4 linked regions of the Mus musculus genome follow. The protein of the gene in region 2 purifies or fractionates together with the protein of the main gene of each other region. This does not show direct contact. Links are inferred from orthologs where the notes say so. Each region holds a gene or a part of one and is shown on either strand. Other genes may lie near its edges.

Region 1 (4,153 bases), on a different chromosome or scaffold from region 2:
CATTCCAAGACTTTTCTTCCTGTTGGGAGCTGTCTTGGGTCCATCCCTGTCCTGGGAGAATCCCAGTCCATGGCCCTGGCCCCCATCTCTAGGGACCAAGGGAGCCTGAGCGGCCTTGTTTACAGCTTCTTTCCCCCTGCATCCTGCCAGGCTCCTCTGCCAGCCATAGGCTTCCTTTCTCCCTGCACTTTTGCCTGCAGACCCCCACCCCACTCCTGCCTCTTGACCTCCCTAACCCTGCACTCTGAAAACCTCTCTGCACTTCTGGAAGCCTTCCTGAACATCTAAATTGTACTCTGCACCTCTGCATCTCTCCCAGCCTCCCTGCACTTCTTCCTGCCTCTGGAATCCTCTGAACCTTATCCCTGGCCTCCCAACGTTCATTGTCTTGGTATCTAACCCATCCCGTTCTCCCCTTCCTTAACACCGTTTTTCCCCTTGCCACGTCCCCTGACCCTTTCTCCCTTTTCATCTCCCCCTTAGCGTCTTCACCCTCCTGCCAACACTTAGTCTGCAAAAACTGCAGTACTTAGGTCAGGCTGAGGGAAGAAGGATGGTGTGGGGAGAGGAGCCTAGCTGGGGGCTCTGACTGTTCTCTACTGGGGACCACCCAGGCCCAGACCATACCCTACCCCTACCCCTAAGGTGCCTATTGGGTCCCAAAGCTGGCAAGTGAGTCCTCACCTGGGGGACCTTCTGAGAGTCCTTATTCTGAACATCCAGGGGAGGAAGGGGCATAGCTGCGCCTGAAGAGTCAGCCTGAATTGATCTGCCCGTTTGGGCTTTTTAACCTCAGAGTTTCTTGTTTGAAGGTCTATTTATGTGCTTTGTAAACAGTAGAATTCAAAACAAAACAAACAAACAAAAACAGGACCAAAGTTCCCAGCTGCAGGGAGCAAGGGAAGGGTGGGGGAGCTCTGTAATTATTCTCTAAGAGGATGAGGGAGGTTTGTTGCACGCGACAGCCCTCTGAGGAGGCAGAGAGCCAGCTGCGATGCATTTCAGAGTTGGCGGGGTTTTTTGTTTGTTTCCTTTCTTTTTTAAAAAAAAAAAAAAAAGTTGGGGGAAAACTAAAATTCCTTTTCAAAAAATAAAACTGAGTCTCCCTTTTTGTATGCTGAATGCTGCATGAGTCTTAAACACTAATAAACAGAGAATGCATGAGACTGGCCTCAGTTGGTCCCTGTGTTTGCAGAGTCAAGGTACTGCTTTCTGGCAGGCCCTACTGAACGGAATACGCATGCGCTGCCGCAGTGGCCATCTTTAGTATGGGCCGAGGTTAATGAGTCCTAAGGGCCAAATTGCGCATGCGCAAGTCTTCTCTTTCCTCTTCCAAGTAGCTTTGACTACCGCGGAGCCTCCGCGCGCCATTTCTCTGCGCCTGCGTACTGAGATGCTGCGCAGCCTGGGAGGCGGGTTTTAGCTCCAGGTTTGTACCGCTGCTGAGTAGACGCGAACTAGGTTTGCCCGGTCTAAAAAGATGACTTCCATCCCGGTGATGGAGAAGGCGATGTGAAAGCGAGAAAACAGGCCCTTCCCTTTCCAGCTCCGAGCGTGTTTCCTGCGGGTCCCTGGGAACGGCAGAATTCTGGGTCCGTGGGGTGGGGTCTGTCCTTGCAGGGGTTTGAGCGCCCCCTCCTGGGGACGGTGCTCTGGCCGCAGTCAGCTGTTGGACTGACTGGCGATTTCCTAGACCTAGAAAGGCTCTCCAGCCTTTCGGGTGAGGCGCACTGGTTTGGTACTCTAGAATCTCCTCTATTGCTGGGCTTCTTCTCTAGTACTCTATGTCCCTTGCCCTGGGCCATGGAACCATTGCAGGCAGCACAGCAGCGCCTCTGTCTGAAGAAGGGGAAGTGACTTCCGGCCTCCAAGCTCTGGCGGTGGAGGACACTGGAGGTCCCTCTGTCTCGGCTAGTAAGGCCGAGGAAGAGGGGAAAGGCAGTCAGGAGGAGGCCGGGCGTGAGGGATCCAGGCCTGAGGAGGCACTAGAAGCTCCCAGCGCTGCGAGCGACGAGCGTGCGGAGGGAGAAGCCGAAGACTGGTGCGTGCCCTGCAGCGATGAGGAGGTGGAGCTGCCGGCCAATGGGCAGTCCTGGATGCCCCCACCCTCCGAGATCCAGCGGCTCTATGAACTGCTGGCTACCCAAGGTACTCTGGAGCTTCAAGCAGAGATCCTACCCCGCCGGCCGCCTACCCCAGAGGCCCAGAGTGAAGAGGAGAGATCAGACGAGGAGCCAGAGGCCAAAGAAGAGGAGGAGGAAAAGTGAGGCCATGCTTTACACATTATTCCCGGGACTGCTCTCCTGAGCACGGAGCCTGGAGGGAGGGGAGAGCAGGAAAGGATGAGGCGGCGGGCTGGGGTGTGCCAGCGGGTGTTAGGGAGTGCTTCTCTCAACCTTGGCTTTCTGTCCACCCTGTTTCAGGCCGCACATGCCTACAGAATTTGACTTTGATGATGAGCCAATGACACCAAAGGACTCACTGATTGACAGGAGACGGACACCAGGTACGGATGAGAGGGAAGAACTGAGGGGAGGTAAAGGGCCTCCCCTAGTTACCCCGCCCACAAGTGGGCTGGTCTGAGGCCTTGGCTGGTTTCAGCCATCATCTTGACCAGCAGTGGGACGGAGCATTCATACAGTAGCATTCACACAGTAGCAGCATAGTTCTGGCTTAGGTCAGTGCCATACTTTCCTATCAGGGACCCCGCAGACCTTCCCAGAAGTTCAAAGTTTGTTGAACACATCTCTGAAGTACTATGTTCATGCCCAGAGCTGACCTGACATCCCAGCCTGTGGGCCTTCCTAGAATATGCTTTTAGAATCATTCTGGAGCTCTCTCGCAGCCGGCCAAGCCAACAGCAAGTTGCATTAGCTCCGCTTGTACAGATCCACCATTGTCAACCAGAGGAGTCCTTTTAAGTGAGGTCCCGTCTTTCCTCAGCTTGTACTACTCCCGAGGATTCCATTCCAGAGAGGAAGAGCATGTCCACGGAGAGTCTTAAGTTTTCTGGCCTCTACCCCTGCCCCAGGACCTTTGCACATGATGGTTATGTTCCCCAGCCATTGCATTATGGGTATCTTAGTCTAATACCAGCCATCCTGTGTGTGGCCCAAACCTAAACATTAGCTCCTCTGTGCCCCTGAGGCCTAAGAAGGGAGTATTTAACAAGATCTCTAAGTGTGGGCACTTGGAGGGCTCACGTCTCAATGCTGTCATGTTTTCTACCATCTTAGGAAGCTCAGCCCGGAGCCAGAAACGGGAGGCGCGTCTGGATAAGGTCCTCTCAGACATGAAGCGCCATAAGAAACTAGAGGAGCAAATCCTCCGGACCGGGAGAGACCTCTTCAGCTTAGACTCAGAGGGCCCCAGCCCCACCAGCCCTCCACTCCGATCCTCAGGAAACAGTCTCTTTCCCAGACAGCGGAAGTACTGACTGGTGCTGCTCCTGCCTACAGGTGCAGACTGTTTTGTGCTGGGCATGGCCAGCCTTTCCCAACCCAGGCTCTGGGGAACTTGTAATGGGGAAGGCCTCAGGCTCCCAGCGCAGTGCCTCTCAGGAGAGTGCCTGTGTGTTCTGTTTAGTGTCTGTTCGCAGTTTTGAGCTGGATGTGCTAAATCTAATAAAAGATGCCCGATGAGTTGGGCGTGGTGGCGCACGCCTTTAATCCCAGCACTCAGGAGGCAGAGGCAGGCGGATTTCTGAGTTCGAGGCCAGCCTGGTTTACAGAGTGAGCTCCAGGACAGCCAGGGCTACACAGAAACCCTGTCTCGAAAAACCAAAAAAAAAAAAAGATGCCGGGTGATCTTCTCAGAGGAGAGACTGCAGCTCAACCCAAGCACGCATTCTCACTTGGGCAGAGGCAGAGCTGTGTTCCTCCACACTGTAATATTGAAGCCAGAAGAGGCAGAGGCTCAGCCAGCCACCATCCCCCACCCCCACCCTTACTGCTGCATCCTCTGATTTCCTAGTCTCGGTCCAGACCCGCCAGTTAGCACTGATTCAGAAACTGCCCCCAGCTGTGGTGACTTCAGTGCAGCCTGGAGGAGCAAAAGATCCAGTTGCAGGGCCCTTTAAATACACAAGCTCCGCCCCTGCCTGCCCAGCCCATTAGGGAAGTCATCCCAAGTGTTGGTGAGGGAAATTCCTGAC
Region 2 (4,359 bases):
GTTCATATTAACTGTAGGTTTTACTATTTATGATATAATATCCCACGTTAAGGACAACCATGTGTGATTCTGATAACAAGCATTCTAAGATATGAAAGTAAGAACTAGCACTTTACACATGCACTTAAAACACATTCCACTTATTTCTTCATCACTGTAACCAAAAGGAATAAATTTAGCCTAAATTTCCAAATGAATTATCGCTGAAAGCAACTCTATTAACTCAATTTAAACTAGCAATGTTTACTCCAAAATAAAATGGCCCTTAAATTTAAACACTATATACAGGTGTGTGTACACACACACACACACACACACACATCTTTGGAATGACAACTTTACATTAATCTAATCTTTGTACATAAAATACTTCAAATAGGTTGAGGAAAATCTTGAAAAGAGGGGGCTAACAACTATTTATATTTATATAATTCCAGAGCTAGTTACTGAACATTTTTCCAGCGCTAATTTTAATGAAAGAAAATTAATACCGTCACTGTCAAAGTTCAATTCAAATTTCCTTACCATTCAAAGAAAATGGACCTACCGAAAAAGATTATGACTGTTTTGCCTTATAGTCATTGTCTGCAATCACAAGTTCTTATATTTTGATACTTTAAAATAAAAACGTAATTATGATCACAGATAAAAACAATTAAGGCAGCCAAACCAAAATACATTCAAAAAGTAAGGAGCAAAATAATCAACTTTTTTTAAAGCCGTTAAGCTTTAGTCGCCTTTCTTAAACTTCCCAATTGCAACAATAGAGCTAACAAAGTATCAAATCAAACCTAAAGATTTCCGGCAAAGAAGAAAAGGTCTAATGAATGCAACATCTACCATAGACACTCCAAGTTTGAGAGTCCCAGCTAACAAAAAAACCTCCTCCTACCATTCCAATCACACTTTGGTCAGGAAATATAAACTGAAGTAGACAGACTGAGACTCCAGCCTTTGTTCAATAGCTTACCATGGGTAACTAAATGTGCTACAGGTTGATAAGCATTTACCAGGCGTATGCACGCTATTTCAAAGCTAGAGAAGGGGACAAAAATTCTACATGCAAATAATCTGTGATCATTTTTATTAACTACTGAGCTACATACTCCAAAGGAGAGGCCTATTCTTCTCTGATACTATTTATTTCCCTGTTTACCTCTCCTCCCTCCCCCAAACCTCCCCCGGCTCACTTTCTCCTCCCACCCTGTCCCGCCATCTTGGGCGGACAGAAGCAGCCATTACTTAACTAAATGACAGTACCAACAACTTTGCACACAAATAAACAAGAGACTACACCCAGAATCCTCCCCAACTGCTCCTGACAGACTCACAGGAAACCAAGCTCCAGAAAACGCACTCATACAACTGTGGTAGATCTTTGGCAGAAAGATCCAAAAAGTAAACAAATCACCTAACTTCAGGTAAAGCACACACCGATGATGATACAAGTCAATAACCCCATGCAAACTCTTTACGGACCTAAACTACGTGCAACTTCCCCCTTCAGGGAGCAGAGACAAGAAGCCATCCCGAAATGTTTGACTAAAGCAGGCATCAGGAACAGACTGCCTAAAGAGCCTTAATAACCAGGGAAGATAACGAGCGGGGGATTTAAGGAAATCTACAGCTGTTTACGAACTCATGACCCTCCCTAGGCACCTCAGAGATCATCCGCCTAGCCTCCAAGGGCGGTAAAATCGTAGTCAATTTGGAAGCCCCACATGAGCTTGGCCCCAAAAGCGCCACTGCCTCTGTCCTCTGGCTCCAAGAGAAGTGATCTCTCAAGAGAGCAAGCGAGGTATCAGGGGGTGGAGGGGAGCGCAGTAGCAGGAAATAGTTTTCCGGAAGCCCCTCGGCCGTCTTTCGAGGCCACAATGAGTGGTGACCCGGCCCCGGTGCCCCAGGCGAGCGCGCCTCTGGCTCGAGAGACCGCGTCCGCGCTCCGGCCCGCGGTTTGCCTTACCTTGCCCAGCAGGGCCTTCATCCTGGCGCCATCTTCATGAAACCTCACGAACCCGAAAAGGCGGCTGCGGAGAAAGACACACGCCGCTCGTTAGTGCCCCGGCATCGGCGCCGACCCGTCCGTGCCAAAGCCCGAGGCCCGGGCGTCAGCGGAGCCGAGAGCGCCAAGCCGAGGTGCCCGCCCCACGGCCGCCACAGGCTAGCCGCGCTCCGGCCTCCTCGGAGAGTGGCGCCAGCCTGTCCCGAGCCGCCCGGGCGAGTGCCCGCTCCCCGTACCTGTCCAGTCCGCCGAGCGCCTCCCTCTCCTCCGCTGTCAGGCTGGGGGACGCCTCCTCGCTCTCGCCGCTCGCTTTTCCCGCCGCCATTTTCTTTTCCTCATCACCGAAAGCGGCGGCGGCGGCGGCGGCGGCGGCGGTAGCGAGCGACACTCCGCAGGATTTCATGGAAACGCAGCGAATTCACAACTCCAACGCCGACACCCCCCCTCTCCGGGCCGGAGCCCGCAAGGACGCCTCCAATCTCCGCACAAGACCGGCACACCAACTTTATTTCTGCCTCCTCCTCTGCCGCGAGAGGCGGCAGCGAAAAATCCTAACGCGGTAGAGGTGAAGGCAGAGGCAGCAGAGGCTGTGGAACCACTGGGTCCGGAGCGGCGACGGCTCGGCTGTAGGGTCACATCGCGGGGATGGGAAGGGGGCAGCCACAGGCAGGGTCGGCGGGAATGGCCGGAGCGCGCGAGGAGCGGGAGCTCTGGGGGGGATTCGTAGGAGACACAAACTTCCCCGGCACCAGCACAAAGTTGTTGTAATTGTGTCACACAGCGAACCCCACGCCGCTGCCGTGACCCCCCCCTCACAGCCCGCTCGGCGCAGCCAACCAGAGCAGCCCCTCGCCTCACGTGACCTTTGTTGACTCGCGTCAGTCGTGGCTCCACTTAACTTGCTAGCTGCTTTAGCCCCGCCCACCGAGGCCGCCACAGATCCGAGAGCGGGATGCTCGCCAGTTCTGGTCGGTGGTTGGCTGATAGGCACGTCTGTCCGGAGTAGGGTTGTCACCCAGTGGGAGCAGCCGGTTAGGTTGTGCTACTTAAATACACAGGCAGAGAATGGAGGGGTCCAGGCTGTGTCCCTTCGGGAGCCGTGGTGGGATCGGGGGGGGGAGGGGAGTGCTCAGTCTGGGCGAGGTCCGGCACCGCCTGTAGCGAGCGCCAACGAGAAAGCCTAGGACAGCCTCTGGCTGCCCGGAAGCCCTAGGGTGGGCCAAGACTGTGATTTCGGTGGTCCTGCTAGCGCTCGCGCACTCCGGGAATATCGATCCCGACAGGGCTGGACACCAGCTGAGTCGCGGGGAGGGAACACTCGGCCCCAGACCTCTGCCCTCGGAAGAAGGCGCACTGCTAGAAATAATAGCCTCCACGAGGAGTGCGCCAGAGGAGCAGCAGCCGGCTTCATACCCTGCAGCCTGGGCGCCGCCCTAGACAAGGCCACGCGAAGCCCCATACCCTTTCAAAAGGGGAAGGGGAAAACGTCTCCCGACCCCCGCCCACTCACCCCAGGCAGGGAGGAATGAAGAGTCAGTCGCCTGCAGGGGGTCTGGCGCGCTGGCTCCCGCACCCCACCGCCAAAGGTCTGTCTGTTGGCAGCACTTTCGGGCCAGATATTCCTGCTGCTTGCATATACCCTACGCCCTAGCAGTAATTCGTTATACTATAAAGAAAAAAACAGAAACAGTGAAATTTGTCGAGGGGGATTTCAGAATGTTGGGTTCTGTTGCTGTCATCTCAGTGGGTACTCCATGGAAGAGTAGGAGCTGTATGTGAACTGGCCTTAGAGAAATAGAATCCTCAACACAGCTTCCTGCCAGCCTTTTTCTGCTTCCACTACATAGGAAACCCTTAGCAGTAACATTTGCTTGTTCTGTCCCTCAGGTACAAATAAGTCTGGTGTTTGACCCATAGTATAATCAGGAGATAGACCAAACTTTCCATCGACTATTTTGAAAAGGCAGATATAATGTGATGTATCTCATCACACCTCCAGTCTTTGGGATAGAAAATATTAGTAAATGGACTATATGAAGAAAAGATCCGTTTATAAACCAAGCTTTATATGTTTTATATAAGTTTACACCTGTAATCAATAGGGTATATTTAAATTTAGATTTCAGAATATATAAGTGCTGAGTCAGTAAATCCTAGCTGTGTTCTTCAATGAGAGACTATAAAAGTCCCAACTAATTTTGCAGACAGACAGAGCTTTAAATTGTTGCCTGGAGACTAGTAACTAGATGAATAAACTAGTTTTGTATGGATTATATTTCGTGTTTAATTACACTTTTACAAAACATGTTCTATGGTGTTCTATTTTACTTGACTGAGTGAGTACCAGAGACTGAATA
Region 3 (4,126 bases), on a different chromosome or scaffold from region 2:
GTACCTGGCTAGCCAGAGCTACATAAAGAGAGCCTGTCTCAAACAAACAAACAAACAAACGATATTAGCTTTTGTTTCTTCAGTGCACTCTTTGCAATTCTACACTATTCATTTACTACAAACCTAAATCACATTTGTTACACATCAGTTTCACCTTCTGGGTCCTCACTAACTACAGGCTCTTTTCCTCATGGATACTAATATGGTGTAGAGATACACAATCAAAAACCTCTTTGCTTTCCATTTCACACATTAGTTTCCACTTACATGTTTCCAATACAATTAGAGATTCCACTCCCTTCAAACGTTTTCTAATTTTAAAGAATTTAAAAGTTAGAAGCTAATTACCACTACATTTTACTTCCTTGTAAAGAATTCTGTGTTGCTTTTCAAATCTAAAAAAAAAAAAAAAAAAAATCTAAAACAGAATTGGCCAGAGTGTTCTTAAGACTACACTGTCATTCTTTAGGAAAATGTTTAACTTCTCAAAAGGCCATTTTTTCTTCATTAATAGTGCTAAGAATTAAAATAATTAAGTGGCAATAACTTAAGTGAACCTTCCTCCCGGTTCAAAGGAGTTGCACTAATACACCTTAACTCATCTCAATGGGAAGCACACGGTGTGTGCTCAAGCATTTGCAAGTGCGTGACCCTAACAATGCAAAAATGAGCGCTTGTATGTCTACTCTCTCAAAAAAGAAGAATTAAATGCAAATATAAAACATTTACTTACCTCAAATTAAAGTATAGTAAGATTTTTTAATGTGTTTTGTTTTTTCAAGACAGGGAATTGTCTGTGTTGCCTTGTCTGTGTTGCCTTGTCTGTCCTGGAACTCCCTCTGTAGACCAATTGGCCTTGAACTCCACCTGCCTCTGCCTCCTGAGTGCTAGGCTTAAAAAGATCTTACAGGCCTGTGCCATCATGAACCCTCTTATGAGATGCAGATGTTTTTCAAACAGTGAAATGGGAATGAATCGAAGTAAACTTCTAATATGGCTTAATCCCATGTTGCTTTTTAAAACAGTATTTATGTCAAACTGACCAAGTCCAAAGTTACTCAAAACTCCACAAAACGTCTCCAAATTCCAGTCAAGGCAGGCATAATGTTATCTTATGCAGACCATCACCTTACAAAGTAACAGACAAAATAAACTCGCAACTTTGTATCACAAAGAAGCTAATGTAATAATGTATACATCCTCTATAAAGTGTTTCTCTCAAGATTTTTCACAGCTAGGTAAGAGCTGGCAGGTGATAAAATATACAGGCGACTAAAGGCCCTGGAACATTTAGTAGTAAAAAGATAGCAAACCCTCTCCACCACCCACCCCAAATACACTGTGTCAAGAGCTTAGTGGGTTCCGAGAGGCCAGGGTGCTTGCTTGCTATGGCTCAGTTAACACTATTTTTGCTGCAACCACCAGACACAACAAATGAATGCACGTAAACCAAACAAACAGCCTATCCATAAATGTGCTGACTTCTTCCTGCAAGTCCCAGCGCACCCTTCCACCGCCAACAGTTCAATGAGAATATCATACAATGAAATGAGTAAGCAACACACGCCATTCTGCAACTTTGAAAGACGGTCACCAATCTTCCGCAGCACCCCGAAGAGCCACTATTGCTGATCAACTAACTCATTGGCACTAAAACGGTTTCCTTAATTTTCAAGCCAAGTTGCCGAATAACCACTTTTTAAGACAACACTTCTTGCCCAGTTCATCCACCCGGCACAGTCCTCACGGACGCTCAAAAACAATCGAAAGCCATTGCCTGCCCAGCTGGAGTTGAAGTTACTCGTCCAGCGACGTTTAAAGCTGTCTCCCCTAAACAAAGTGCTCTGGGCCGTCAGCGCCGCGGAACCCGGCCGCGTTCCCGAAACTCCGACTCGCCCGCTTACACCTGGGCCCGTGCGATCCCGAGCGCCGGCTGCGGAGCCGGGCGGTGCGGTTCGGGGCGGTGGGGGATGGGGAGGACAGGCTCGAATGGCTTCCTAATGTATCATTAAGAAGCAAAAGCACCGGTCTGGGAGCAAGAAAAGTTAAAGGAGCCGCGAGCTGACAAAGAGCGCCGGCCGCCGCACCCGGACCACCCGGCCGCGGCGTTTGACAGCTCCGTCCCTGGCGCCCACAGCTTTGTGGCTCCGAGAGGCCGGGCCGGCAGCAAGCTGGGCGTGCTCGGCGGGGCGTGTGCGGACGCCGGGCTAGGCCCTGGGGAAGCCGCCGGGCGGTTCTCCCAGAAGCGAGGCCGAACTCCAAAGTAAAGTGCGCGGCGCGGCCGGCGGGACCTGCGCGGGCGCCGCCGAACCGGGCCGCGCCTGGGCCGCCCCGCCCCCACCGGGCCGGGGGCCTGACAGCTCCGGGCCGCGCCGCCGCTGGCCGCCCGCCTGGCTCCCTCGCGCTCAACTTACTTCTTTCTGGCTCTCTGGAAAGGGGAAGCGCCATCTTTGCGAGGCCGGCCCCGAGGTCTTTTGTCTGCGGCTGCGGGGCTCGGGGCCGGGGCTCCGGGCTCCTCGGGGGGTGCTGGCGGCGGCTGCTGCTGCTCCGCGCTCCGGTCCTCCTCCGACGACATCCTAGTCACCAGGAAAGACACATGGATCCCCGTCCTCCTCCTGGGGGGCTCCTCCCGCCGCAGCGGCCGCAGCCGCCGCCGCTGCTGCTGCTCGAGTTGCTCCTCCCCGGCTCAGCCTCTCGCATTTCCCGCAGCCCCGGGAGCAGCAGCAGCAGCAGCAGGTACCGGGAGAGGCGGCAACATGGAGCTAGCAGGACACGCACTCACACACATCGGCGCGGGCGCGCGCACTCGGCGCGCAGGGGCCGGCGGGGGGCGGCGGGCAAGCGGGCGGGGCGGGCGGGGCCGGCCGCGCGGGGCGGGGCGCCGCGGCCAAGGCTGGGGCCGGCGGGGCCGGGCCGGAGGGCGGCGCCGAGCGGGGCGGGGCGGGGCGCGACGCGAGGGGCGCGGGCCGGGGGCGGCCGCAGGGGTCTCCGCCCGGCCCCTCCCCCAGGCCGCCCGCGGCGGGAGGAGAAAGGGCCGCGGAGGGGGGCGGCGGGCCGGGCCGGGCCGGGGCGGGGCCAGCCACCCCTCCCCCGCGCCGTCAGCCCGTCAGGCCCACGCCGCGGCGAAGTTTTGACAGCTGCTCCAGTTGTTGTGGTGGGTTCCGGGGTGGTGCGAGCGCCGGCCCCTCGGTCGCGCGCTGGCGATCGCTCCCTCACACACTGCTCGCTCACGGCGTTCCCTGTGGCTAGCTCCCTCACGCTCGGTTCAACGCACGGCTAGCTCTCGCTCTTCCCTATCGTTTGCCCGCTCTCCGGCCGGCGCTTTGCTGCCTCACGCTCAGGATCGCTCCCTCACGCTAGCTTTCGGCCCCATCAAGCTTGGCTCCCTCACGCTGGGATCCCTCTCGCTCGCTCGCGAACGCTCCCCCACGCCCGCTCTCTCTCTGGGGGCAGCAAAGGAGGAAGTTTTGCGGCTGTGCGTTCACCACACAAACAACACACGCACACGGCAGTGGCCGTCGCGCGAGGCCTGCACCCGGGTCCCCCGGGGCGACCCGCACCACAGACCTCTCAAACTCGCCGCCGGCTCGCCCACACACAGGCGCCTCCCGCCCCCGCCCCCAGCGCGCTGCTGCCACTCACGGGGCTGAGTCCGCGCATGCGCCCCGCGCTACCCGGCCGCCGCCGCTGACCTCACCGCCCCTCCCCCGCCCGCTCTGACGCGGCGGTGGCTGCAACTCGGGCTCTGGCGGGCGCTAAGCTGCGGACCGGGCATCCGGGATCAGGGTCCAGCCCGGCCGGAGGAGGGGGGAGGGATCGATGTAAACACTCCGGAGCGTGCACCCGCGTGCGGTGCGCGCACGTGCGTCCGCGACCCCCTGCGGGCGTGGGCCGCTCCAGGCCTGGCGGAGTCCCACGTAGGCTTCCCTAGTGCGGCGCAACCGTGGCAGGACAACGTTAGATCCTAACTCCAGCTGTAGTTTCTCCGTCCGACGTCATGTTTTAAACACCGTGAGACCGGAGGCTGCCGTACAAAAAACCAAGCGGACAGGTTGAGTGGGAAAAAAATGTCTCTACACCGAGAGAAATGCATCAGCGTGAACGTTGTGTGTGCTCAAGATTTAAA
Region 4 (3,544 bases), on a different chromosome or scaffold from region 2:
AGAAGCATGGCAGCATGCAGGCAGGCATGGAGCAAGAGGAGCTGAAAAATCTACATCTTGTTTCAAAGTGAAACAGTACAAGGCTGGCTCCTGAGGCAACTAGGAGGAAGGTCTCAAAGCCCATTCTCACAGTGACATACTTCTTCCAAGAAGCCACACCTCCTAATAGTGCCACTCCCTGGGCTAAGCATGTACAAACCACCATACTGAATAACTTTGAAAAATTTTATTGTAATTAACTAAACTGGTACCCAATATGACCATGAGTTTGACTGACTATTGTATTTCTTAGCCTAACAGTTTGAGGACTCAAGGTCCATGGGCGATGCATATATAGCTGAAGTTCCGGTTAGAGACATCTTTATGTCTCAGCCAGGTTCAGAGCTGTTCCTATGTAGAGGAATCAGCAAATGATGTTGTTACCTGTTCTATTGGTCTTCTTGATTTCTTTCTTTCTGTCTGTAGCTAAGATCTTTCTTTGGGGGGCGGGGGATGTCTTCTTCTATCAAATCTGATTTTTTATTAATTTGGATGGAATCCATAGTTTTTCTTTTCCTGTAGAAACAAGAGCATATTCTCTCCCCCAATGTAAGAATTTTGTTTAACCTGCCTTTAAGAAACAATGTATCATCTACCTTACTTGCCTTGGATTTCCCTTGTAATCACCTTTTACAACCCAAGCTATTAAATAGCTATACTTAAATTATGTACTCTTCTGTGTCCCTGACCTAAGAGTGATAGCTGTGTGCTTCAACGTGTGTTCTGATCATCTTTGCTGGAAACAGCAGATGGGCTGGAAGCTATCTTAGAAACAAATATCCATCATTAATGTTGAACATACCATTTGGATACTGCTTGATCTATAGTCATGTTAGCAATACTGTCTGTTGCCTGGATCATTGGGCATTGGTTGGAGTCAGCTAAAGATTTCTGTGAAATCATTGTTCCTTCTGTATATGATGGTTTTTTTTTTTTTTTTTTTTTTTTTAATGCTGCTCAATAAAGAGGAGAGGAAAACCCTTTGTGAGGGACAGAAGCAGACTCGGGGACAGGGACAGATTTCCAAGATACCCTTCAGGCAGGCACAGATTCAGATTTATACAATAGAAAGGAGAGGATGGAAGACACAGGGAGAGAGTTGAAATTCTGAACCTTTTGGTTAAGTGACATCAAGGAAAGTGTTTTGATTTTTTGTCCTTATTGCAACACCAATGTCTTTTCAGACTCTTGAGTTATAAATGTGTTCAGAATGACCACGGCATCTAAATGTAGTTATTTTTCCTGACCACAGGCCATGTGGTCCATGTGGGAAATGTTCAACTAACCCCTCTGTGAGCTAACCCTCTCTGTGGGCTAACCCCTCTGTGAGCTAACCCCTCTGTGAGCTAACCCTCTCTGTGAGCTAACCCCTCTGTGGGCTAACCACTCTGTGAGCTAACCCTCTCTGTGGGCTAACCCCCTCTGTGAGCTAACCCTCTCTGTGAGCTAACCCCTCTGTGAGCTAACCACTCTGTGGACTAACCCCTCTGTGAGCTAACCCCTTCTGTGGGCTAACCCACTCTGTGAGCTAACTCCCTTTGTGAGCTAACCCCTCTGTGGGCTAACCCTCTCTGTGAGCTAACCCCCTCTGTGGACTGGCCCCTTCTGTGGGCTAACCCCCTCTGAGCTAACCCCCTCTGTGGATTGACGCTTTCTGTGAGTTAACCCCCTCTGTGAGCTAACCCCCCTGTGGGGGTGGGGGTGCAGAAGATAGGGAGCTAGTGGGGAACTTAACCTTCATAGTTCTAGAAAATTAAGATATCTTGTAATAAAATCTCAGTAGAGCAGGTGTTCTCTACTTTAATTTTGAGATAAGAGTCAGACAGATCTGGGATTTCATGGCCAGCCTGCTCTATATAGAAATTCTAGAGCTACACAGACAACCTGTTGGAAAAAACAAAGCCCCAAGAAAGCTTTATGAAAAGTTGCATGCAATTAAAAACATTTAAAAGATATGTTTCTGTTTACTTCTAGACAAAGTATTTCTATATCACCCCTGGCATCTGCCCAAGCCTTGCAACTATGAAGGCAATTGTAGAGTGTGCAGGGGGAAAGGTGCTAGCCAAGCAGCCGTCCTTCCGGAAGCTCATGGAGCACAAGCAGAATAAGGTGAGAGCAGAGCCCCGAGACGCCAGTGCTGTGCCTTGTGGGTGCTTCTCCCTCGCCCTCACTCAGAGCTCATTCTCTCTTTCCCTAGAGTCTTTCAGAGATCATTTTAATATCCTGTGAGAACGACCTGCACTTATGTCGCGAGTACTTTGCCAGGGGAATAGGTATGGCTCCGTGCACCTCTACACTGACCTGTGAGTGTTCTCAGTGGCCTTGTCCTAACAGTTTTGGTTCTGTTCCTTCAGATGTTCACAATGCGGAGTTTGTCCTGACTGGAGTACTCACACAGACACTGGACTATGAATCATATCCTTTACGAAGGCGCATTGCAGGGACAGGTGAGGCTGAAGGCGCATTTGCAAGTTAAAAAGGGGCATCATGGTTCTGGTCTCCAGACTTTTTCCTTGCTATTACAGGTGACCTGCCTATTTAGCTTACATAGGTGTTGAAGGATTTTACAGTTTGACCCCATAGAAAAAGATGGGAGTCTATGCCTGAGGGCTATTCCACCCTCCACAGCCATGAGGTGGGAAGTGACACAGCTTGATATGGCATTATAGTTAAGGTACAGATGTGGCTGGGTCTGTGTTGAACAGCTAAGGTTTTTCAGGCTCCCAGGGAGGAAGCCTGTCAGTTTACAGTCTGTATCACTAAATCTCAGCTATTAGTTTTAGAAGGACTCAGATTTTGTTTTTCTTTTTTTTTTAAGATTTATTTTATTTATATGTATGAGAACACTGTTGCTGTCTTAAGACACACCAGAAGAGGGCATCAAATCTTGTTACAGATGGTTGTGAGCCACCATGTGGTTGCTGGGAATTGAACTCCAGACCTCTGGAAGAGCAGTCAGTGCTCTTAACCACTGAGCCATCTCTCCAGCCCAGGGCACAGATACTTGAGAGGAGGTTTTACTTTATTGCATGCTGGCCTGGCACCCTGTGGCCTGGGCTGACTTCATAGGGATCACCTTGAGTGCCAGGATTTCAGGCATGAGCCACTGTGCCCAGCTGAGGTGGTTACTTTAATGTGTGAAAAGCCCCCAGATTAGAGTGATGTCATTATTGGTCCTCCATCTGTGTGGTGTCACCCAGCTGAGTGCATTTACCAAACACTTCCTCTTAGCCCCGAGAGCTCAGTAAACAGAGCTAGATGACATAGCTTGGTGGCCGTAGGAGCTAGCAGGAGTCCCTGGCAGGGATCTTCCTCCAAGCAGACTGAGCTGGACAGTGACAGGAGGCAGGTGTGCTGTAGCATCTGGTCTTTATACAGCACATCCTCTGATGACTTCTCCAGGCTTCTCCAGACTTCTTCTTAACACTGCTTGCACTTGAGAACATGGTAGAGCTGCTTCTCAGGTTACATTGGTCAACTGAAGACCTGCCCATGCCTATTGCCC

The links.
Region 1: the proteins of Kdm6a (region 2) and Pagr1a purify together in Homo sapiens (affinity purification with mass spectrometry; 5 studies listed by BioGRID and IntAct, with this or other methods). This does not show direct contact. The link is inferred for Mus musculus from reciprocal best matches to the Homo sapiens genes KDM6A and PAGR1.
Region 3: the proteins of Kdm6a (region 2) and Kmt2c purify together in Homo sapiens (affinity purification with mass spectrometry; 3 studies listed by BioGRID and IntAct, with this or other methods). This does not show direct contact. The link is inferred for Mus musculus from reciprocal best matches to the Homo sapiens genes KDM6A and KMT2C.
Region 4: the proteins of Kdm6a (region 2) and Paxip1 purify together in Homo sapiens (affinity purification with mass spectrometry; 6 studies listed by BioGRID and IntAct, with this or other methods). This does not show direct contact. The link is inferred for Mus musculus from reciprocal best matches to the Homo sapiens genes KDM6A and PAXIP1.

What each region holds. Positions count from the first base shown.
Region 1 is NC_000073.6:127,014,553-127,018,705, reverse strand, and holds Pagr1a (PAXIP1-associated glutamate-rich protein 1A), read left to right. Parts: upstream 1-1,353; 5' UTR 1,354-1,784; coding exon 1,785-2,263; intron 2,264-2,423; coding exon 2,424-2,506; intron 2,507-3,236; coding exon 3,237-3,436; 3' UTR 3,437-3,655; downstream 3,656-4,153. UniProt on the Homo sapiens protein: Its association with the histone methyltransferase MLL2/MLL3 complex is suggesting a role in epigenetic transcriptional activation. However, in association with PAXIP1/PTIP is proposed to function at least in part independently of the MLL2/MLL3 complex.
Region 2 is NC_000086.7:18,161,052-18,165,410, reverse strand, and holds the start of Kdm6a (lysine-specific demethylase 6A), read right to left. Parts: upstream 2,837-4,359; 5' UTR 2,406-2,836; coding exon 2,239-2,405; intron 2,028-2,238; coding exon 1,964-2,027; intron 1-1,963. UniProt on the Homo sapiens protein: Histone demethylase that specifically demethylates 'Lys-27' of histone H3, thereby playing a central role in histone code. Demethylates trimethylated and dimethylated but not monomethylated H3 'Lys-27'.
Region 3 is NC_000071.6:25,495,976-25,500,101, forward strand, and holds the start of Kmt2c (histone-lysine N-methyltransferase 2C), read right to left. Parts: upstream 2,809-4,126; 5' UTR 2,576-2,808; coding exon 2,415-2,575; intron 1-2,414. UniProt on the Homo sapiens protein: Histone methyltransferase that catalyzes methyl group transfer from S-adenosyl-L-methionine to the epsilon-amino group of 'Lys-4' of histone H3 (H3K4).
Region 4 is NC_000071.6:27,743,025-27,746,568, reverse strand, and holds part of Paxip1 (PAX-interacting protein 1), read left to right. Parts: intron 1-2,013; coding exon 2,014-2,148; intron 2,149-2,236; coding exon 2,237-2,312; intron 2,313-2,393; coding exon 2,394-2,454; coding exon of another isoform or gene 2,455-2,515; exon of another isoform or gene 2,516-3,544.